Alligator mississippiensis: one gene and its partners. The protein of the gene in region 2 interacts with the protein of the main gene of each other region in a biochemical or structural test. Links are inferred from orthologs where the notes say so. Each region holds a gene or a part of one and is shown on either strand. Other genes may lie near its edges. The genes, in order: CYSLTR2, MPDZ and HTR2A.

Region 1 (7,959 bases), on a different chromosome or scaffold from region 2:
AGGTGTTGTAAGAGAAATAATTTATTGTATTTTGCTAGGGTCAGAAGTCCTGGACTCTAAAAAAAAAAAAAAAAAGAATTAAAATCAGAGTTCTGCAACCTGTTATAAAGTTTGTGTCATGTATCTTTAAAAATATGAGTGAATTAAGCCTGTGTGGTAAGCATAAAAGCTAAGGGAACTGAGGTACAGTGAGGCTAGTACCTTGCTGAAAACCACCCAGCAAGATACTGAGAGCTGCGTATCACCAATAAGATCACAACAGAAAGGAGTAATAGGGAGATTCAAATATTGCCATGGAGAAATGTACCTTTTAACATTTTTAAAAGGGAAAGGGAAGTTGCTGCTTGGGAGTACACATTAGCTGTTGCGATCTAACTCAGAGGTGAAGCAAGGCAACTATGCGGCATGTGGGGTAGCATCAGGCTGCGCTGCCAGCACTGATAGCAGGGTGTGGACAGCCATCAGCTGATGCCCTGGTCACAACCCCTCAATTACATTACCAATCCAACAGTTTGGTAACCTTACATTACCAATCTACATGGTCCTATAATGATACAAGTTACCTAAATCTCTATAACTTTAACCCTGAATGACATGTATCACTACAGAATGATGCAGGCATAACAGCAACAGCAGTTTATATCAGTAGCATTTGATATCAGTAAAATTGTTATATCTGTCTATAGCTGAAGTGAAGATTCATCATAGAACCAACTGGGGAGGGGATACACACCAGGCCTACAGCACAATAGCTAATGCACTTCAGATTAGGTGATTTAGCTGAGACCAGCCACAAAATCTTCCTTGAATTATTGATCCCTCAAGAGTTCTCACAGGTGTTACGTTTATGGTGCATCCAGACAGCCATGGGTCCTGGGGCTATCCCCAGCTGATCCTTAGGAATCAGGTTGGGGCAGCTCCTGGTCCTAAACTAGAACCTGGGACTGCCTGTGCCTGCTTCTGACATTCAGCTGAGGATCAGGCAAGATCAGCCTGGGGGCAACCAGACTTAGATGAATTAAAATGTCTATAAAAAGTTATAGACACTTTGGAAAATTAATAATATGGGTCCTGATTCTGCTCCCTGTCACATCAGAGAGTGGTGGTGGATGGGTTGTTCTCGGCCTGGAAGGAGGTGGGCGGAGGGGTCCCACAGGGTTCGGTCCTTGGACCAGTGTTATTTAATATCTTCCCCAGCGATTTGGACGAGGTTGTGGAGAGTACCCTCTCCAAGTTCACAGATGATACCAAGTTATGGGGCAAAGTTAACACACCGGAGGGCAGGGAGCAGATACCGGCTGGCCTGGACAGATTGGATCAATGGGTGGAATGAAATAGGATGCAGTTCAACAAAGATAAATGTAAGATACTCTACCTAGGAAGGAGGAATCCCCAGCACACCTACAGGTTGGGGGATGACCTCCTCAGCAGCTCAGAGGCTGAGAGGGATCTTGGAGTCATAACTGACTCCAAGATGAACATGAGCTGGCAGTGTAACGAGGCCATCAACAAACTAGCGGAGAGTAGATTTAGGTTAGACGTTAGGAAGAATTTTTTTACAGTAAGGATGGCCAGAATCTGGAACGGGCTTCCAAGAGAGGTGGTACTATCACCTAACTTGGAGGTCTTCAACAGGAGGCTTGACAGTCACCTGGCTGGGGTCATCTGACCTCAGTCTTCTTTCCTGCCAGGGGCAAGGGGTTGGACACGATGATCCATTGTGGTCCCTTCTGACTCTATAATCTATGAATCAGACCCACACCAGTATAACATACTCTTTTATTTGTAACTTACATATGCCAGTGAAATGAGACCAGAATCTAACCTGGAACCATTAAATAATATTGAAAATTGCATGGCCAATCCCACTAAATACACACAAATCAGCCACAAAACAAAGATTACCTAGCAATCTATAACCTCAAGTCCTCAGTTAAGTAAAGAACTAGATCTTAAAGCAACCATCTACTAAAACAAGGTTAAGATTCCTTAGCCTGACAATGTAAAATATATTTCTGTTATATTTTAAGAGAAATAGATTATGACACAGCAGTATTTATATTGGATATGAAAAAAGCAAATTCTCTAGTCTGATTTTAAGAAATGCAGAACATTCACAATCCCAGCTACATTAAATGTACCTGCAAGTGCACAGAAATTCTGAAACACTGAACTCTCTATACCAATGAGGACTTGTCATAATACATCTTTTTAAATGATTTTCTTGATACAAAATACCTTCTCTGCTGTTTAAACCATATATTTTTCTCCAAACAGTTTTCTATGGGATTTCAAGTTTGCCATTAGACTAGCAATGTGTTATTATCTATGTTATATTACAGGCATCAGCTACTGCCCTTTCAGAAAGCCAGATGTACGGACATTGGACAAAAAATGAAGCTCTGATTCACTTTGTCCTGTGAATGTTATATTTCAGTTCAGGATGAGAATTGCCAAACAGTTACTTTCCTTTATTGTTGGTTTGGAATTAGCATTGATTTAAGCTGAACTGTGCAGAGACAGGACATTTTATTCACCCTCACGCACACCTTTTAATGAATTGGTAATTTTGTAAACAAAGATTCCAGTTGATACAATCCGTACTTTGCGCCTAGCAAGAAAATTAAATTCATTCACTCAGATTTTTGGTAAACTACCATTAGTTTATTATCTTTCATGTTTCAAAATATTTGTAATTATAGAAAACCACCTTGATGTCCTTTCTTAAGGAGAAAAGAACCTTATTTAATAAACACCTAATATTTCCAGCAGCTAGAAGACCTCTCGTAAGTAACAGGGGGGAAAGTAGGAGGGGCCTTAGTTACTGTTAATAATCTTTATCAACTTAAATACTGAACTAAAAAAAATTACAAACTTGTCCTACCTTAGTATGTGTAGCTTTCAGTTAATTCAGTACATTAGTTCCTTCTTCAGCTTTTGCTGTTCAAAACTGCCAGCCTGCTAGTGGAGGGGGGAAAAGAACCTACATCTATTTATATCACAACCACAGCCAATGAAAAGTAAAAGGAAGTCAGTATTTGTTAGCAGAAGTTTTATTTCTTCAGAAAGATATTTTCTTAGGTCAAGAAAAGGCATTTGCTCCCATACTACATATATCTCTTGTTCAAAAAAATATCAAAAAAGGCTCTGCAGCCACGTAATATATCTAGAAACTTTTTCTCAACTACTCTCATTTCTATCTATAGACTTCAATAATCAAACCAGTAAATTGTTGGAGTACCATAAAATAATTAAAAAATACTTTCCCTGGGAAAATATTCTATTTTCCCAGTGGGGTGCTGGGAAGAGATGGCCTCCACCTCAATCCACTGGGGAGGAGGCTCTTCTTAGCGAGACTGGCTGACCAACTCGACCGGGCTTTAAACTGAGCCCACCAGGGAAGGGGGGGATTACCACCACTGCAAGCCCACTGGGCAGTTTCTGTAAACCCAGCAGGCTAAGGCACTCAAGGGAACCCACCCCTACGGCAGCCCCAGAGCAATCTGTAGGAAAGGCAAGGACCCCCAATGGGACACTTATTTGCCTGTACACCAATGCCAGGAGCCTGGGGAACAAACAGGAGGAACTGGTCCTCCTGCTAAACCAAAAGGATTACAATCTCATAGGGATAACGGAGACCTGGTGGGACTCCACCTATGACTGGGCCACAGGCATAGATAGCTATACCTTGTACAGGAGAGATCATGCGGACAAAAGGGGCGGTGGAGTAGCTCTTTATGTCAAGGAAAGATATGCATCCCTGAAAGCTGACATTAGCACCCAGGAGGGAAGATTGGAGACTCTCTGTGTCAAAATGGGTGGCGAAAAAGGCATAGGGGTCACAATGGTGGGGGTCTACTACAGATCTCTTAGCCAGGATCAAGAGCTTGACCAGGAATTCGCCAGGGAACTAGCTAAGGCTTCACACTCCCAGTGCATGGTTGTCATGGGAGATTTCAAATACCCTGACATCTTGTGGGAAGAGCACTCGGCCAAATCCGAATGGTCACAAAGCTTCCTCATGTGCATGGATGAGCTCTATCTGACTCAAGAAGTCTATGGACTGATGAGAGGCAGAGCTCTGCTCAACCTGGTACTGGCAACAGGGATGACTTAATCAGTGACCTAATGATCGAAGGGAAGCTGGGAGACAGTGATCATGAGTTGATCACCTTCACCATCTGCCTTAAAGCAGGCAAGCCAGTCAGCAAAGCAGAAGTCCTCGACTTCAGGAAAGCTGACTTTGACAAGCTCAGGAGGCTTGCTGGCGTGGCCCTAAGAGACCACGACCCAAAGTGAAGGGGAGTTCAGGAAGAGTGGTTGCTCCTCAAGGGAGCAATCCTGAAAGCACAAGCAATGTCTATCCCATCTAGGGGGAAAGGCAGCAAAAGGGCACAGCAGCCCCCCTGGGTCTGCAGGGAACTAGTGGACCTCCTGAGACTAAAAGGAAAGGCCTATTAAGGATGGAAGGCTGGATCCACCCCAAAGGAGGAGTACTCTGCACTGGTCTGGACCTGCAGGGAGCGAACCAGGAAAGCCAAGGCTGCAACTGAACTCCAACTGGCTACACGTATCAAGGACAATAAAAAGTCATTTTTTAGATATGTGGGGAGCCAGAGGAAAAGCAAAGGTAACATTGCACCCGAGCTAAACCATATTGGTCAACTGACAACTGACACCCAGGAAAAAGCCAACCTGCTCAATGGGTATTTTGTGTTGGTTTTTCACCAGCCCCAAGGGACGGCCTTGCTCAATATGGTATGGGACAGCCAGGGTGAGAGAGAGCTGTTACCCTTCATCAGTGTTGACCATGTGAAGGAACACCTTGAGAGGCTGGACACCTTCAAGTCAGCTGGCCCAGACAGCTTACACCCCAGGGTACGTAAGGAGCTGGCAGGCATCATAGCTCAGCCGCTGGCACGGATCTTTGAGAACTCGTGGTGTTCAGGCAAAGTGCCTGAAGATTAGAAGAAGTCCAATGTGGTGCCTATCTTCAAGAAAGGAAGGAAAGTAGATCCGGGGAACTACAGGTCCATCAGCCTGACCTCCATCCCCGGGAAGATCTTGGAGAAAATCATCAAAGAGAGCATTCTTGACTAACTGGCTGAAGGCAACTTCTTGTGGGATAGCCATCATGGGTTTGTTGCAGATAGGGCTTGCCTGACCAATCTCATCTCCTTCTACGACCAGGTGACATACCACCTGGACAAGGGAGAAGAGATTGACATTATATATCTTGAATTTAAAAAAGCTTTCAATCTGGTATCCTATAATCATCTTAGTAGTAGTTGGCAGAAGTCAATCATTGTGGTGCGCCATGACCAGTGGGGTCCCCCAAGGCTCTATCCTTGGGCCTATCCTTTTCAACATCTTCATTAATGATGTGGACATTGGTGTCGGAAAAGGACAGGATGGTGATCCAGGCTGGCCTTGACAGGCTTGGAAAATGGGTGGATGAAAACCTGATGGCCTTCAACTCTGAAAAATGCAAGGTACTCCACCTTGGGAAGAAAAACCTGCAGCATGCTTATAGGCTTGGCAGTACTATGCTCGCTAGCACCACGGTCGAAAGGGACTTGCGGGTCATGACTGACCACAAGATGAATATGAGCCACCAATGTGATGTTGCAGCCGGCAAAGCGAGCAAAACTCTGGCTTGCATCCATGGATGCTTCTCTAGCAAATCCCAAAATGTCATCCTCCCGCTGTACTCAGCCTTGGTGAGGCTGCAGCTGGAGTACTGTATCCAATTCTGGGCTCCAAAATTTAAAAAGGATGTGGAGAAGCTTGAGAGAGTCCAGAGGAGAGCCACACACATGATCAGAGGGCAGGAAAACAGGCCTTATGATGAGAGGTTGAGAGCCATGGGACTTTTCAGCTTGGAAAAGTGCAGGCTCAGGGGGAACTGGTGGCTGCCTATAAGTATATAAGGGGTGTACATCAGGATCTGGGGGAATGCCTGTTCACCAGAGCACCCCATGGGATGACAAGGTCAAATGGTCACAAACTTCTCCAAGACTGTTTCAGGCTGGACATAAGGAAGAACTTATTTACAGTCCGAGCCCCCAAGGCCTGGAACAGACTGCCACCAGAGATGGTGCAAGCATCTACTCTGGATTCCTTTAAGAGTCAACTGGACATTTATGTTGCTGGGATCCTGTGACCCCAGCTGACTTCCTGCCCCTGGGGTCGGGGACTGGACTTGATGATCTTCTGAGGTCCCTTCCAGCCCTAATGTCTATGAAATCTATGAAATGAAAAGAAAACATTAGGGTACATTTCCAAATCATTTCACCACTAATAGCATGTGGTCAACTTGCTGGAATTAGCAATGTTGGGAAACCAACCACATAGCCAACTGCAGAAGATGCATCAGGCACTTTGGCACCTAACTGCACACTGGTCCTTAGGAAATTAGATGCCCAGTTTCTACCATGTTTTAATTGGAGATAGATATCCATTTCTCTCAGACTCTTTGAAAAATCTCAGTCATAATCAACTAGTTTACCATTTTCTGTTGCCTTGATGGTAGCTCTCAGTTACACAATGGTTCCATAATATTGCTTTTCCAGATAAAAGGGTCTTAGAATGGGCAAAAATAATCTTCTGAGAACACTCCATAGGCTGGTGGCTCCCTGGGCATTGTACAGCTTGTGTCAAAACTGCTCACACACCCCATAAGAGGATGAGTTGAACAGTTGGTTTTGCAAGTCCTGTAACAGGGGCCCCTAACCTCTCTTACTCATTTGAGAAGGGTGGCATTACATAGCTGCAGAGCCACAGGCAGCAGCTCTAGAGGGCTGCAAGCCGCAGGTTGTAAACTGCAGGCCTCAAGAGCTGGGACCTGCAAGCTGCAGGCATCAAAGACAAGCCTAGTAACTACCTAAAAGGAGCCCCTGTCTCATATGTTTGCAGATGGCACCAAGCTAGGGGGAGTAATAGATATGCTGGAAGGTAGGGTTAGGATTCAGAGGGTGTATCTACAATTGTTGCTATGGCAATATTGTGACTGCACTGTGATTTAGTACTTCCAAAAGGAAGTACTAAATCACAGTGCAGTAACAGCTCATACTGAGTCATACGTGTGACGCGCATTTATTTTTAGCAGCTACTTCACTGTTGTGGTGCACTTTAGTGGGGGAGCGTGTTGCTATGCCAAAATAGCTGTTGGTCACATGTAAACACCCACGGATGCTAGGTCATGGTAGCGCATTGCTACAGCAATGTAGTATCACATGTAGACATGTCCAGAAAGACCTAGACAAATTGGAGGATTGGACCTAAAGAAATCTCATGAGGTTCAATAAAGACAAGTGCAAAGTCCTGCAATTGGGATTCAAAAAATCTCATGCACTGGTACAGGCTGGGGGCTGACTGGCTGAGCAGCAGCTCTGCGAAAACGGACCTGGGTTACAGTGGACAATAAACAGAATATGATCCAACAATGTTCCCTTGTTGCCAAGAAGGCTAACAGTATGCTGGGCTACATTAGCAGAAGCGTTGCCAGCAGATCAAGGAAAGTGATTATTCCCTTTCTATTCAGCACTGGTGAGGCCACATTTGGAGTACTGTGTTCAGTTTTGGGCACCCCACTACAAAAAGGATGTGGACAAATTGAAGAGTCCAGCAGAGGGCAATGCAAATGGTGAGGGGGCTGGGGCATGTGACTTCTGAGGACAGGCTGAGGGAACTGGGCTTATTTAGTCTAGAGAAGAGAAGACATGGAAAGGACTTAATACCAGCCTTCAAGTACCTGAAGAGGGGTTCAAAAAAGGGTGGAGCTGGACTGTTTTGAGTGGTGACAGATTACAGAACAAGAAGCAACAGTCTCAAGTTGCAGCAAGCGAAGTTTAGGTTAGATATTAGCAAAAACTTTGTCATTAGGAGGGCAGTAAAACACTGGAACAGGTTACCCAGAGGGATTGTGAAATCTCCATCCTTGGAGGTTTTTAAGACCCA
Region 2 (7,912 bases):
TGTTCTGTTTTTCTGCAATTTTTATATTTATTTAGTAATATTAGAGATAGCAATTATACAGGCAAATCAGCTGTACTTTGCTTTTTAAGTTTACATCTGGCACAAATAAAAGAAGCATATGCAAACTGTGACACTTAAAACTGTGAAGAAATATACTGGAGCCCAATAGTGATAATAATGATAATAGTACCTTATTATCATAGTCCTGTGACAGATGAAAACATGTTAGTTGATAAAAGGGTTCAGAAGATAAATCAGAACATGATGGACTACAACATTTAGGTGGTATTAGGCAGAACACCTTGACCACTTTTAAAGTGTAAGGCTGAAGAATACCTAAAAAGGAACATGAGCAAGCTTAGTGGATGTCAATTCAAGTAGTAAAGGACCTGCTTAACTAATCATCTGGAATTCTTTTAAGAAGTTTTTAGAATATCTAGCTTGTCAAAACATCTATGTAAGGTAAAAAAGAAAGTCTCCAACAGGCAGTTAAATAAGGCTCTGGATAGAAAACTGTTTTTTAATATTTTTTTTCATATAAGAGATGCAATGCAGAGAAACTTTCAGATTTTATTGGTTCCCGAGTTCAGTAACATGGCTGCCTGAGTTTGCTGTCTATTATTTGGAATGCAGTACCATTCCATTTATCTAAAACACATTTTTTACTCTGTCTGAAATGAAGTTATGTACGTGTAGCCTGGGTGTACGTGGGTTTGTACTCCCCTCTCCAGTTGAGGGAATTATTGGCAGGGCAGTGTGCTGTGGAGGGACACAACAGCCCATCAGCCACTTCCATCCCCTATAGAATCAGGCCCAGTCAATCAATTACTTAACTATATACACATTTATTATTTGAACAAAATCATTAAAGGGTAAGGACATACACACAACCAATTATTTAAAAATACAGATGAACAATAGAACAATCCAGAACAAAGGATACTGATCAGGCAACCTTATATTACATATTATTATTATTAATATACAAACTATTGCTTCAATTTATTCACATATACTATAAGGCACAGTCTACAAATATAACCAGCAATCCTTAGACTACCAGGGCAGGGGCCCCACTCCCAAGGTACCACTATAGGAAAGGAGATGGGGACAAAGAAAAGGAGAGGGAGACCCCCATAGACTCCTAAACTTCCCCACTATCCCCCAGGAGCGGCCCATGTGGTGCCCCTTCACAATTCTGGGGATCCCTCCTCTGTGGGGACCCTTTCTCCAGGATAACTTAGTACTCCACAGTCCTGGAGGGTTGCCTCCTGTTCTCCAGGTTGAGCTCTGTTTCCCGCTGAGCTTTCCTGCCACCTGACCATGCTGTTGCCGGCCTGGCTTAGGGCTACATACACGGTTGCGTGTAGTGGGTGCTTCACCTTGTCCTAGGTGTTGGAGGCCTAGACAGCCTTGTGCAGCACCAGGGCTTGGTCTACTCCCAGACCCTCTGGGCAGTGTCTTATGCACCAAATTGCTGTCCCGAGCCACCTTGAGCAGCTCCTGGTGTCTCTCACTCTCTGTGCAGAGCCTCCTACACTGAGCTCCCAGCCTTGTGCTGAGTGTTGTGGATCTGAGCTGCCCAAGGGGCTCCAAAGATCCTGCTCCGCGCACTGGCTTGTGCACTGTGTCTCTGGCTGCATGCCAGAGGTTGCAGACCCGAGCCATCTCACGCAGCTCCTAGGGTCTGGATGCCGTGCTGCATACTGAGAGCCTAACCGCTGGAGCCGTCCACTGCTCCCCGCTGATGGAAGTCTTCAGGGGCACTTCTGTTGCCAAAACGGCTAGTTTCGTTCCCCTGGAGGCTTGTTCAATTACCCTCAAGGAAAGAGTCACACATACAGGCTGGGTCCATCTAGGTTTATTGTTTGCAAACAGTTCGACCGAGGAGCAGAGAGCTCAAATCAGGGCCGACGATGAGTCCGGCCTGGAATCACATTTTTATAGCTTACATTCAACAGAGTCTTGATGTACTAGAAGTTTATTGGCTGCAGTACCAGTTCCTAATTGTGACGTCTTATCTTGTAGGCTGTACTTAACTAGTTATTGGTTAATGTGACTTATCAGGGTTAGTACGTGCGCAGTCAAAGGTAGAATTGCAGCATGCTCAGAAGAAAAGAGCAATTTCAACAAAGTTAGTTAAACTTTAGTAACTTCTTATCTTAACGTAACCTTAAGGCACTGGACAGAGATGATTTCAAAATGCAAGGCAAGCAGTAAGAACCACAGCTTGGACATTAGACCTCCTGATCTTTACACAAAAGGGTCATAAGATGGTCATAAGACACTTCTATCATATGGTTGTTGCTCAAGCATTACTGCAAAATTATGGAGGTTAACGTCTTTTTACTACACTTCTGGGCTACTGCTTCGCCTTGCTGAGCAGCTTTCCTCAGCTCTTCTAAGCCCCACTCTTCTCTGTTCCTGACACATCTCCCTCACTGGGCATGTAGCCTTTATACGCTCCAGAGCTCCACCCATGTAGTCTTCCAGACCTGACAGTTTGCAGTGTTCAATCAGGTCTGGAAAAGCTCTTCTCCCCCTCCCTTCAGGAAAGGGGAGTGACTTTATTTCTCTTGCTTCCTCCTGATGGGTGGATGGGCTCCACCAATCAAAACAGCAGGATCTCAAGCCTTGGCCTCAACCCAAGCTCTGAAAGGTAAACCTGCTACATATGTATGTATATTATGATTATGTACCTTTCAGTATGTTTATGGTAGTGTTTATAATTCAGTTAAATTTTGATAAATCAAATCAAAACAAAAACACTCCAAGCAAATTAACAACAAGTACCAGGCTCTAGCAGACACAGGGATGATGTACTTCTTTCTGGTACTGAGGATGCTATCACAACTGGGCTGCCTTGAGTAAACATGGAACAAGGGGCAATTTCCTGGTGAGAAACTGAGATAAGATACCAACTCCAGTGTCATTTGCTAGATGAAAAGTGTTCACGAAATAGAAATCAAAGCCTTTAACATATACAAGGAAAAAGCAAACAACAAAACAGTGGGACCTTCTTACATTGAAAATAAATTTTGTTGTCATCACTATCATTTTTTAAAATTATTTGGACGTTTGTATATTTGTAAAGGGCATAGAGAATTATTCTTTATACATTGTTTAGTTTCTGAAATTATTTAAAATTCTAACAAAAACTTTAAAACAAATTAAGGAAAAGGCACCTTATGTTTAACCTCATGCACAACTTTTAAAAAATAAACATGTTTTTAGTTTAAAATATCCAAAGGTTTGCCCCTCTTTATCTTCTAACTTCAAGCCTTAGATAAAATACCCACTTCTCATACCAAACAGCAAGATACATGTTTCCATTATACTTTAAAAAGAAATATTTCTTCTTCCCACCTCCCTAACAGATTACTTTGCTAACTGTTCTATTTTACTTCTGAGGAATATATATATATATATATATATATATTCAGCTACTATTAGAAGGGAAAACAGTAAAAATAAAAAGACCACTGGGTTTACAACTAATTGCGGGGTGGGGGCAGAGGGGGAAGAGGCATTCTTACATTCTTCAGTTAATGTAGCTTGGCTTAATTTTGTAAAAGAAACCCAAATAAACTTATTAATGGCATAATGTATCAGGTGTGGAACAAGTTTTCAACGGAAACAGCGGACACCATCATTTGAGATATTTAAAGGGACACCATGCAATAAAAGTTGTATGAGTCTGATTTTCCCCCGTATTTGTTTACAGATACATGTTAGAAATACAAAATTAGATTTTATAGATTTGATGGCACATGCTTTAGACAGCTATAATGGCCCTGGGTGTGTGTGCGTGTGTGCATGCACTAAACCCCTGTACTTGTTAAATGGTGGCTGCAAAACCAGACTAATTGGAAAACCACACTAATTGGTGAAGGAGTGGGGAGGTCATGTGTTGTACCTGAAATCTAAATAACTGCCTTAAAAATGGAGAAAAAAAATACTTCACTCGATTGCAGTTGGCAAAGGGGGGGGGGGGGGGTCATCTGTTGTACCTGAAATCTAAAGAAATGTATTTTTAAAAAAGGAAAAATATAAATACTTCTTTAGATTGCAGTTAGCACAGGCAGGACAGAGGGGAAAGTAATGTTGTACCTAAAATCTGAAGAGCTGCTTAAAAAAAAAAAAGGAAAATTATAAAGCCTTCATTAGATGGCAGGTCCTTTCAGACAGATCTCTGAGAAAGTAGCACACCACTACCTGGCCATAGTGATCACAAAACTCTTCACTGGGTTTTTTGCCCCTACATTGCTTGTTTGTGCAGCTGGAGGCAGTTTTGTGTGTGTCACTGCAGTGCTTCCCAGCCTTTAGTTTCAGCATTTTCCAAGGGGGCGGTGGTGGTATAGAAAAACAGGAGGAGGAAGCAGTCTTTGGCAGGCAGTTTCAAAGAAGATGTGGGGTGCTGAGTCTTATCCAGCTCCATCTCCTGCCCTGGAGAGAGAGAGCAAAAGAGACAGAGAGGAGCACAGCACCCACGCCCCTTCCCTGAGCTAGGGTGTTGGTTTTAGCTGTGTTGGTTTAAGGACACAGGCAAACCAGGCTCTTTGGGTAGATGTGATCTCTTTTATTAGGGCAACTACAATAAATCGCTGGAAAACAATTGTTCTTTGCAAGCTTTTGGGCACAAGCACCCTTCCCTATGCCTGACGAAGGGTGTTTATGCCCCAAGGTTTGCAAAGGGCCAGCCCAGGGCTCTCTGCAAGCTTCTTCCTAGGGCAGCATGCGGGCCCCTCCTGTTGCTGCCTGCTGTTGTCATGGTTCCTCCTCTTCCAGCCAGCTCCCTGGGCTCGGCTCGGCTCGGCTCGGGAGGGAAGGGGAGGAAGACTGGGCGGGGGGGGGGCTGGGCGTCTAGCCGCTCCATGGCTGGGCAGGATTAAGTTTCATGGTAGCCTGCCTGCGTATGTGCGGGCGCTTATCCTGCAGCTCCGTTAGAGAAGGGAAGGGGGGTGGGCAGCCAAGCCAGGAAGCGAGGTCTACAAGCCACCCCCCACCCCTGCAAGCTCCGACCCTCCCTGAGGCCGCTGCAGCGGCGAGCGGGGTAAGCGGGGCGCGCGGGGCGCTCGTTGCAGCGCGGGGGCTTCTACAGAGGGGATAATGGAATGCAATAGTAGGCGCCCTTCCCCCAGTTGTTTGTATTGCGGCCGGAGCGGGGGTGGGCAGCCTGTTGCGTGCGGAGTTGGGTGCACCCCCGGGCCGCGGGAAAGGAGCTGCGCAGCCTTGTTTACTGGGGGAGGGGGCTGCAGCCGGGAAACACCCGCGCTACTGCCGGCATCGCCCCCATCTCCCTGTCCCTTGCCGGCGGGTCTTGGCGCCCCCCCCGTCGGCCGTGGGGGGCTGGGCCTTGCCTCGCTCTCTGGACGCGTATTTTTGCAAGCGGGGCCGGGTGGGTAGGCATTCAAGTGCCCCGGGCGGGGTAGGGGCCGAGGGACGTGTTGCACGCGCGGAGACTGGGGTGCCAGGCCGGGCAGGAGCGAAGGATGCGGCTGAGGAGGAGCAGCCGCATCCTCCTCTTCTTCGTCCGGCTCCGGCGGCTGAGCCCGGGGAGGGGCCGGCTCCCCGCGGGCTGGGCCGGGCTGCGGTCCGAAACGGGCATGAAGAGGGGCGCCCCACCCGAGCATGGCTGAAGGAAGGACACAGCACACCGCCCCCACATCATGGTTGAAGGGATGATGGAGGGACACAGTCGGCCTTCTGAAAATACCCAGCTCTCTTTTCCTCCACCCCCCCATGGCTGAAGGGAGCGTGCACACCCCAACCCCCCCCCCCGATGTAGGGACACACTCTTCTTTCCCTTCTGAAAATACTCAGTTCACCTCGCCCCCCAATCATGGCTGAAGGGAGAACACACACCGGCCCCGACCATTGCTGAAGAGAGCAAGGAGGGGGACACACTCTTCTTTGCCTTCTGAAAATTACCATCTCTCCCTCTCTCTCTTTGCTTTTTGAACATACCCAACTCCTTCCCCAGTTATCATCCTTGGCTTTCAAATAACAGCCCCAAACCCGTAGCATTTTTGCCACAGGCATGTATAAAGTGTTTATAAGGGGGTCCAGAAAACTTCAGGGTTCAGCGATGTGGCAGCTACTGGCTGCATCCTTTTCTGTTTTATGTGAAACCACTTTTTTTTTCCTAAGCGGGATTGGAAGGTCCCGGTGACATTGCATTTGCAGTTTCCCCAGGTTTTTCTGCAGATCTTATCTCAGCAAGCATGAACTCCTTTTAATCAACACACAGTCTTTAGACATAGCTTCATAGCGGATTCCAGAGAATACAGAGAAGTATGAGCAAGGCCAAAATTATGCCTTTGGAGAGGAAGGTTGGCCCAGAGGGAGTTGGGTGCAGGTGTCTGAAGTAGAGAATATGACCTGGGATATTTTATTTTTTGATCTCACTTCAGGTCTATTTCTGTGCACTTGTAAACACTTGGTAGGGTTAGAATGATGTAGCCATGATAGTCCAAGGAATTATTTGAGAGGCAGGTATTTCTTAGGGTGATGTCTTTTACTGGACCTAGTTGGGATGGAGTTAGACAAGTTTTCACATGCAAGACATTCGTAAATGGAGATGACCATATAGCAGTACATTATAGGAACTTCGGAGACAAAGGTGACATTTTGGTCTCTATTGTTTACATTTAACCATATGGATGTATTATTTTGTTGGTCAGTCTTTTGCCTTTTTTCCCCCTTTAGTTTTAAAAACAGTATCTCATCCATCTTTTGTATTTTTATCTATCATCACCAGCAGGTAACTAGGTTACTACAATCTTTTGAAAAGAAAATGTTATTTTACAAGAAATCTCAACAAAATGGAGAGGAGTATGAAAGAGAGACAAAAGCAAACTCTTACATAGGAGTTTTGCTTAAGCATAGTCAGGAATCATAAGAATCCAGTCCTGCTCCCTTTGCAATCAGCAATTCAATGTCTGAACAGAGCTAGGCCCACAGTAGTATTATTGTATCACTTGCTTTCATATGGGTGACACATTGGGAGTAAAGAATATCAAAACTAAAAGTGAAAAATGCGAAATGTGAATTGTTTCTTTAAAACCTTGTTTGATTTGGATTAGAAAAAGTAAGGATGGGTATGGATATAACACAGGAAAATAAACCCAGAATTGAGTATTTAATATAGCTAAAAAAAATTATAAGGAACTTTCATTACCTATCATTAATGTATTTGTTATTGTGTGGCTCAATTTCACACACAGGATTTGCCCCAAATTACTCCTAATTGGCAGATTAGGAAATTTCAGTAATTTATACAGAAAACTATTAGCCAGTCACTCAAGGGAGCAAAATCTTGTATGATTATATTGACAAAATAAAGACAACTGAATATTTAGTTTATTGAGGTGCAAATTACCTTATAAAATGATTATGTGTAAATATAAATTATATTTTTCAACTGTTAGGACAAGATGATATTAAATAATTGAGAGAGCTGTCATATCAGATGGGAGTGTACTAGAGAATAGCAGTCTGAGATCATTATTTTAAAATGAACATGCTCATTTATTTAGCCCATACCAGATAAATTATAAATGGCCTAGAAAGCTGTTTGGGGAGCAATTTCTTTTCTTCAGCATTTCAATTTTACTTAGAACCAATGGGCATGAATGTTTTCTAGCTGCCTACTGTGGCCTTCATGGCTTTTTTTTTCTTTCCTAGCTGATTCACTATTTTGGTGTTTCTTTGAAGTATTTTCCTTATCTCACTAATGGAGAAACATTTTTATGGAGCTATTTATGTCACTGACCTTTATGAATGTCCTCTTATGAATTCCAGCCTACTATCAGCAAATGTTCCATCAGGACCTAGATATGTTCTTCTATTCCTGGAAGAAAATCTGCACTAGAACAATTAGATCAGTATCAAGACTGGGAAACAAGAACAG
Region 3 (7,058 bases), on a different chromosome or scaffold from region 2:
TTCTGCAAGCTGTTTGCTGGTCATGGTGACAAGTGATCCAGTGCGTCATGCTGATGCTGCATTTCTCGGAAATTGTATGCCTGAATGACTGGTTTTTCAAATGCATTTAGCCTGAGAGGAGATCTTTCCTCTGGCAACAGACATCACAGTGCAAAGTTAAAAAGAGAGAAAAATCATTTGATCACAGAAATACTGCAATTAAAATTAATGGTCACAATCAAACGTGGGTTTCCAAGCAGAGGCAAAAATTAGCTTTCTCAGTGGCAGGGAGTGGCCAGCAGGAGTCCCTGTTGATCACCTCAGTGAATCATTCAGAGCTTGAGTCTTTCACTTATATCTCAGATCAAGCAATTAGTGCCCCTACAGCTTTATTTTGCATTGTCTTCCCTACCATCAAAGGTAATCTTTATTGAACACTTATATGAATCCCTATTTGCTAATGCCATCCAGGATACTTTGTGTAAAAATAGCAAAATTGAAAGAGGGAAATTGGGAAATAAATTCTTATATTGCAGTTTTCCAAATGAAATCTCCCTCAAGTTGTTGTGAAGTGGTTGGTACTTTAAAACTGTAACACTCAATCTAGCATAAAAGCTATTTAAATCTTTCAAATTAGATCCCCCCTTCCCCCATTTCTTTTTCTTTTCTCTCCTGTATTGTGATACTGGGTATTTTTTTTATAAATTTGAAGATGAAACCAGCATGGAAAATGTCTATATTTAACCCTTAAGTTTTCTGCTTTTCCTCGGTGATCCAGACTGCTAAAGATTTTGGTTCAAATGCCAAGAAATTTGCTCATCACCTGTAAACAGCATCACAGTTAACCATGCTTCTTAGTTCACTTTACACTTTCACATAATAGCTGTTTAGAAAAGGTAGGGAATATTAATTTATTCAATTTCAAATGTTACTAAACACTGGTCATGAATAACTCCTGTCTACATTTTAGGCTCCCTTGAAAATACTTCTTCCAAGATTTAATGGTAAATAATATAAATAAAGATCGTAGTGTAAAGATGGTTATTTGAAACTGAAATTAATTACCAGTAAATTAATTACCAGTAAAAATATGAGGCAGGTTATTTTAACTCTAAGTGCACCAAGGCATTGATTTGCCTGTGCATATTTGTGGAGCAAAAGTATTAACAGGATATTACTTACTTATTAGGAAAACTGAAAAGTATATGTATATGAGACAAAAGTATATGAGGCAAAACTGAGAATACTGAGAACACAGCATTTTCATAGAAAACAAGATAATCCCCTCAGAATCAAAGTGGTAATTTGATTTTTGGACTGTATTTAAAACATCTATAATTGGAAGTTAAAAGGAAATGAGCTCATAGGTACTGATTCTTCTCTTTACTATATTTAACAATTATAGCATTATAGGGAGGGAGATAGCAAGCTTATATCTTAAAAGCTAGATTGCATTTATATTTTACTTGAATCCTCAAACTGTAACAATAATAACATGTGTTTGCTGTTATTAGGCTACCCAATATATGCAGTAGGTTACACAGGTGATACTCACCGTACAGTATGGTTAACATTGACACAGGCATGACAAGGAAACCCAACAGCATATCAGCTATTGCGAGTGACATTAGAAAATAATTAGTGGCATTCTGTAGCTTTTTCTCCAGTGACACAGCCATGATGACAAGAATATTCCCAGCAATGGTTAGAACAATCACAATAACTGTCAACAAAGCTGGCCAATTTTTCTCTGGAAGCTGAATCCATGATGAAAAGCAGGGTGGGCTCGGACTGCCTTCACACGAAAGATTAGTTAGGTTTTCAGAGTCCACAGTTAAGTTAAACAGATGAGATGTGTTAACCTCTCCAGATACAAAAACATTTTTGTAAAGTCTTCTCTCATGATTTAATTGTATTAAGGAGTTTGTAGTTGGGTTCACAGAACTCTCCTCATCACAAAGAATATCCATTGCTGAAACTGGTGAGTATGTATAGTAAAAAGCTGAAAGCATAAATTTTTGTCACCATCAGGCTTTATATTCCTTTGTTGTCCAAAGCTGAAGCTGGTGTAAAGGAAGGATTATTTTTTGATAATTACTTTTTCTTTATTATCCGGATGGAATTATTCTGAACGCTGAAATACTTTCTTTTCGGCTCCCTGTGAAGTCCCTTATTAGCATATGTTAAAAATCCAGTTGAAAAACAAAATCAATATGGAGAATAGAAAATGTGGACTTGAGGTTTTGGAGAGCAAAAACAATGGGCAAAAAACTTTTGCAACCATCAGGACTCTCTTCTGTAGCTACATCTTATTGCTCTTCATAACTGTAATCACACAATTTTAAATGCAGCAGTATTAAAATAGCTTGCTATACAAAACAGCAGAGCTCTGTTCCACAATGAGAAAGTTGATTAAAGATTCCACCCAGCATCTAACTCTTACAATAATAAGATATGCTCTTATTTATAGTTCATCTTCCATATTACTGGCTGATAGTCTCTGACTTCTGTCATATTTCAATATCATTCTGAGTCTCACACCAGTGATTACAAGTAATATTCCACATTGATTTTAATATCTAATAGTATCTTTTGGCTCAGCATGGCTTCAAAATAGAAATAAAATGACTAAATGCTACAATTAAAAATATAGTATAGGAAGACTTACATTGCTGAGAGCCCACATTCAAAGTTCCTTAGATCCACCTTGTACTCTGATTTGCCATATCCTTCTCTGAGTCCCTTCTCTCTAGTGGCCACAAAAACACTAGTATTTTGATTACAGTTACGTTGACTTCTAAACTGTACACTTGAGAGAAGCCAGTTCCTGTGTAGCCAGTCTTGTTCTTTTCTTCTGAGAGAGAGGCTGCTTGCTGTATCTTTCCTTGTGCATTTTCCCCCCCAAGGGCAAGCTACATGGAGAGTAATAACAATATCAGACCCCCCCTCAAAGTGATACAAAAGAAAGCACACGAACTAGAAGGAGCAGTCTCCAGAAAGAGATTACTGATTTCAACAGGAATGTAATTTCTTGCTCACTGCCTTGTTCAGTTTGTCAGACCTCCCACTATCTAGATGTCATAAACTGCAAGGTAGCAACAGCAAAGGAGGACAGACCAAATAGGGTCTTTTTTTGGTAACTGCCAGTTTTTTCATTTGATCATTTTTGAGGTCTTAGTTTTGTTTAAGAAAATGCACATTTTCCCTTTGCAAAGGATGCCCTTCAAGCCAGCTGTGTACAATTATAATATCTTGTGGGGTGAATGTTTGAGGAAGACAATAAATAAAGATAGTAATGGTACATGCTGGTAAAACTGTAAATGTGCAGCTTTTTCCATCCTAAAGGTTGCAGCTTTTATGCTAACCCTAAACTGAATTACTCATGTTCAGTCCTCCCTTATCTGATTCCTGGGTGTGTGCTGATGACCTAACCAAACTGCCAACAGATATTTATAAAAAATAAAAAGTAATCATAATTTAATTATTTGTCAGGAAGTGGAAGGTACAAATAAACCCTGATAACCTATTTGGAAGAAAAGTGCCCCAAATGAAGTAGGCAGACAAGGTTTCTTGGGTGAATTTGATATCTTTTATTAGACCAACCCAAATAGTTGGAGAATAGTTATTAAGCAAGCTTTCGGGTTCAAAAACCCTTCGTCAGGCTAAGGAAGTTTCAGCAGTTGGTGTGTGCTCTTCCTGGATGGAATGAAAAGTAAAGAAGCCAGAGGCTGGGCTGGGGAGTCAGTTGCCAGGCTGATTATAATGTGTCAAAAATCCAATGTCTATATTTAGTCCACGATCTCTAGTATCCAGGAGGTTGATGAAATGGAGTTCACAGACCACCTTCCCAGCAACACACTCGTAGCCACCATGGACGTTACCATCCTATATACCAACATCCCACACCAGGATGGCATCCAAGCCTGCCTTACATATCTACAGGAACAAGATTACAACACAGATTACAGACCCAAAGATATTACTGACCTTATACACTTCATCCTCACACACAACAATTTCACTTTTAATAACCAACACTTCCTCCAGATGATGGGAACAGCTATAGGCACTAAAATGGCCCCACAGTATGCAAACCTTTTTATGAGCCACCTGGAAGAAGACTTCCTCAAGAACTACACCATCAAACCCTTGCTATACTTAAGATATATCAATGACATCTTCATCATTTGAACTGAAAACCTACAATCTCTGATTGAGTTCCATCAGAAATTCAACAATCACCATCCCTCCATCCGACTTTCTCTAGAATACTCCAGCACCAGCATCTCCTTTTTAGACACGATGATCAATATCCAGAATGATAAAATACAAACCACATTATACAAGAAACCCACAGACCAACATACATATCTGCACAGAACCAGCAATCACCCTAAACGCACCAAAAAAGCTGTGATATACAGCCAAGCCCTCAGATACCACCGCATTTGTACTGAAGAGAACACCTGGGATTGCCACCTCACCAATCTTAAAAAGGCTTTCACCCAACAAGGACACTCCTCCAGAGAGGTAGATCGCATGTTTGAAACAGCCACCTAGATACCACATGAAGAACTGCTGCAGTACAGAAGAAAAACACCCACAAATTGCACACCGCTGGTTATGACATATCACCCCTCCCTTGAACCTGCACGAAAAATCCTCAAACAACTGCAACCCATACTAGAAAGAGACCCTATTCTTAAAAAGATCTTCCCAGAGCCACCCATCCTAGCCTTCAAACAAGCACCGAACCTCACCAACCTCATCACCAGAAGCAAACTTCCTTAAGCCCAGAACACACCAAAAGGATCCAGACCGTGCCATGACAAGAAATGCAAAACCTGCCAACACATCTCCACCACCCCCACTATTACTACACCCCACAACAGAGCCAGCAGCATTCCTGGATCTTACAGCTGCACCTCCAGAAATGTAATATACCTCATCCAATGCACCAAATGCCCTGATGGAAAATACGTAGGAGAGACCAAACAACAACTGCACGCCAGAATGAACGCACACCGGAAATCTATCAAAGACAGAAATACCCAATTACCGGTGGGGGCACATTTCTCACAGGAGGGCCACTATCTCTCCAGTCTCTCAGTCCTGATCCTCAAGGGAAACTTACACAACACTCCCCAGAGACGAGCCTATGAGCTCCATTTCATCAACCTCCTGGATACTAGAGATCATGGACTAAATATAGACATTGGATTTTTGACACATTATAATCTGCCTGGCAACTGACTCCCCAGCCCAGCCTCTGGCTTCTTTACTTTTCATTCTATCCAGGAAGAGCACACACCAACTGCTGAAACTTCCTTAGCCTGACGAAGGGTTTTTGAACCTGAAAGCTTGCTTAATAACTATTCTCTAACCATTTGGGTTGGTCTAATAAAAGATATCAAATTCACCCAAGGAACCATGTCTGCCTATGTCCTTAGACCAACACAGCTACAACCTACACCACTGCCAAATGAAGTAGTACAGTCATGTAAAGTGTTCTGGGATAAATAGTGGAATTAAACCCCCTTCCGTGATTTTTCCTATTCCTTTGTAATATCTGTGCCATGACACTTATGGGAGACTAGTTGACTATTCTTTTCCACATTGTAGTAGGGTTGGAGTGTTGTTGTACAACCCTGTGTTGGAAATCTTGTCCAACATCCTTCCCAGCTATACGCTTGGTCCCGTAAAAGATATCACAAAAAACCCTTGCCTCTAGTACATTTCCTAAACCATCACAGGTACAACAATACAGAATGAATAATTACAGAAAAAAGGAAAACACTTTTCATGGAACAACCACTCTGTTTCTGACCTCACAGTCCTTTTAGTCAAGGGAAATCTGAAAAACACCTTCAAAAGACAGACGTGGGAGCCAACATTTATAACATTCATAACACTAAAAATCATAGATTAAGCCCAAAAAATGTCTTTCTGACTCACTACACTCTACCTGCTATCTCTGCTAAAATCTCTGCACTCCACAGGTAATAATAACCCTTTTCTCTTCTGAATAGTCCTGTTCTACGTAAGTTGGCGTTCGTTTGAACTATATTCCCCTTGTTTTGAAGCTATTTCTGATAGCCTCTCTCTGTTCCTACTTTTCAGTCATCTTCCATTCCTTTAAGTGACTGTTTTAATTCACAAAACACAACCCCCAACCCCAGCCCACACTGGTGGATAGCATACTTTCCTGGGAGTTGTGGCTTTGAACTCCTGGGACACATCCAGATGAGTGCCCACGTCCAGTTTGCAGCACCTCAAAAGTAGTTTGAGGCACCACAAACTACATGCAGTGCACATGCACCCATTCGCTACACTGCTAATTTGTAGCGTGGCTGTTTTTTTGATACCAGGAGATCCCTGAGGCTAAGAAGGGCCTAAACAGTAGGTCCTCCATTTTCTGAGCAACTGTTTTAGCTAGTAGTTGTTGATAGACATGGACACTGGCATCACTCCCTCCTCAAGCCGTGCATAAGAGTGGCAAGGCCTATTGTGCTCTTTGCTGAACTTAACCCTGCCAACATGCATTAGGTGTGTTCTGAGTGCACCTACTGGATCAGTACCTTGAGGAGACTTAGGACCAGAAATGGCTAGTTAATAAATCCCAAATGGATATAGGTATGAGACAGTGGCTGAGATACTCATCTTTGTCAAGGTGGCATCATTTAATGCAAGTAGCACAAATGTAGGTGCCTACTTAAGTTTACCAGTAAAAACATAGCTGCCTTTGCCCTTTCAGGCCACATCCAAATGAGCGTGGTTGTTTGTTTCCCCAGGGACAAGTAGCAGCAACACACCTTGTGAGCAAAAAATTACATTCCTGCTGGATTTAATAATCTCTTTCTAGAGACTGCTCCTTCTAGTTTGCGTGCTTTCTTTTGTATCACTTTGATTCTGATATTATTATTACTCACCATGTAGCTAGCCCTTCGGGGGGGATGCACGACGAAAGATACATTTTGTGCCACTGCTACTTGTCCCTGGGGAATGCCCATGCCATGGGCACTCTGGTGCATGGCAGGTTACCCTGGGTGAGCTAGGGGAGGCTGGGCCCAGCAACTGTG

Evidence for each region.
Region 1: the proteins of MPDZ (region 2) and CYSLTR2 interact in a test that uses a peptide from one of them, tested with the Homo sapiens proteins (2 studies listed by IntAct, with this or other methods). The link is inferred for Alligator mississippiensis from reciprocal best matches to the Homo sapiens genes MPDZ and CYSLTR2.
Region 3: the proteins of MPDZ (region 2) and HTR2A form a complex in vitro, tested with the Homo sapiens proteins (2 studies listed by IntAct, with this or other methods). The link is inferred for Alligator mississippiensis from reciprocal best matches to the Homo sapiens genes MPDZ and HTR2A.

Annotation. Positions count from the first base shown.
Region 1 is NC_081824.1:413,727,545-413,735,503, reverse strand, and holds the start of CYSLTR2 (cysteinyl leukotriene receptor 2), read right to left. Parts: upstream 3,027-7,959; 5' UTR 2,885-3,026; intron 57-2,884; 5' UTR 1-56. UniProt on the Homo sapiens protein: Receptor for cysteinyl leukotrienes. The response is mediated via a G-protein that activates a phosphatidylinositol-calcium second messenger system.
Region 2 is NC_081826.1:183,139,746-183,147,657, forward strand, and holds the start of MPDZ (multiple PDZ domain protein), read left to right. Parts: upstream 1-4,895; 5' UTR 4,896-5,053; intron 5,054-7,912. UniProt on the Homo sapiens protein: Member of the NMDAR signaling complex that may play a role in control of AMPAR potentiation and synaptic plasticity in excitatory synapses. Promotes clustering of HT2RC at the cell surface.
Region 3 is NC_081824.1:412,486,556-412,493,613, forward strand, and holds the start of HTR2A (5-hydroxytryptamine receptor 2A), read right to left. Parts: upstream 3,031-7,058; 5' UTR 2,648-3,030; exon of another isoform or gene 2,305-2,647; 5' UTR 1,992-2,304; coding exon 1,535-1,991; intron 1-1,534. UniProt on the Homo sapiens protein: G-protein coupled receptor for 5-hydroxytryptamine (serotonin).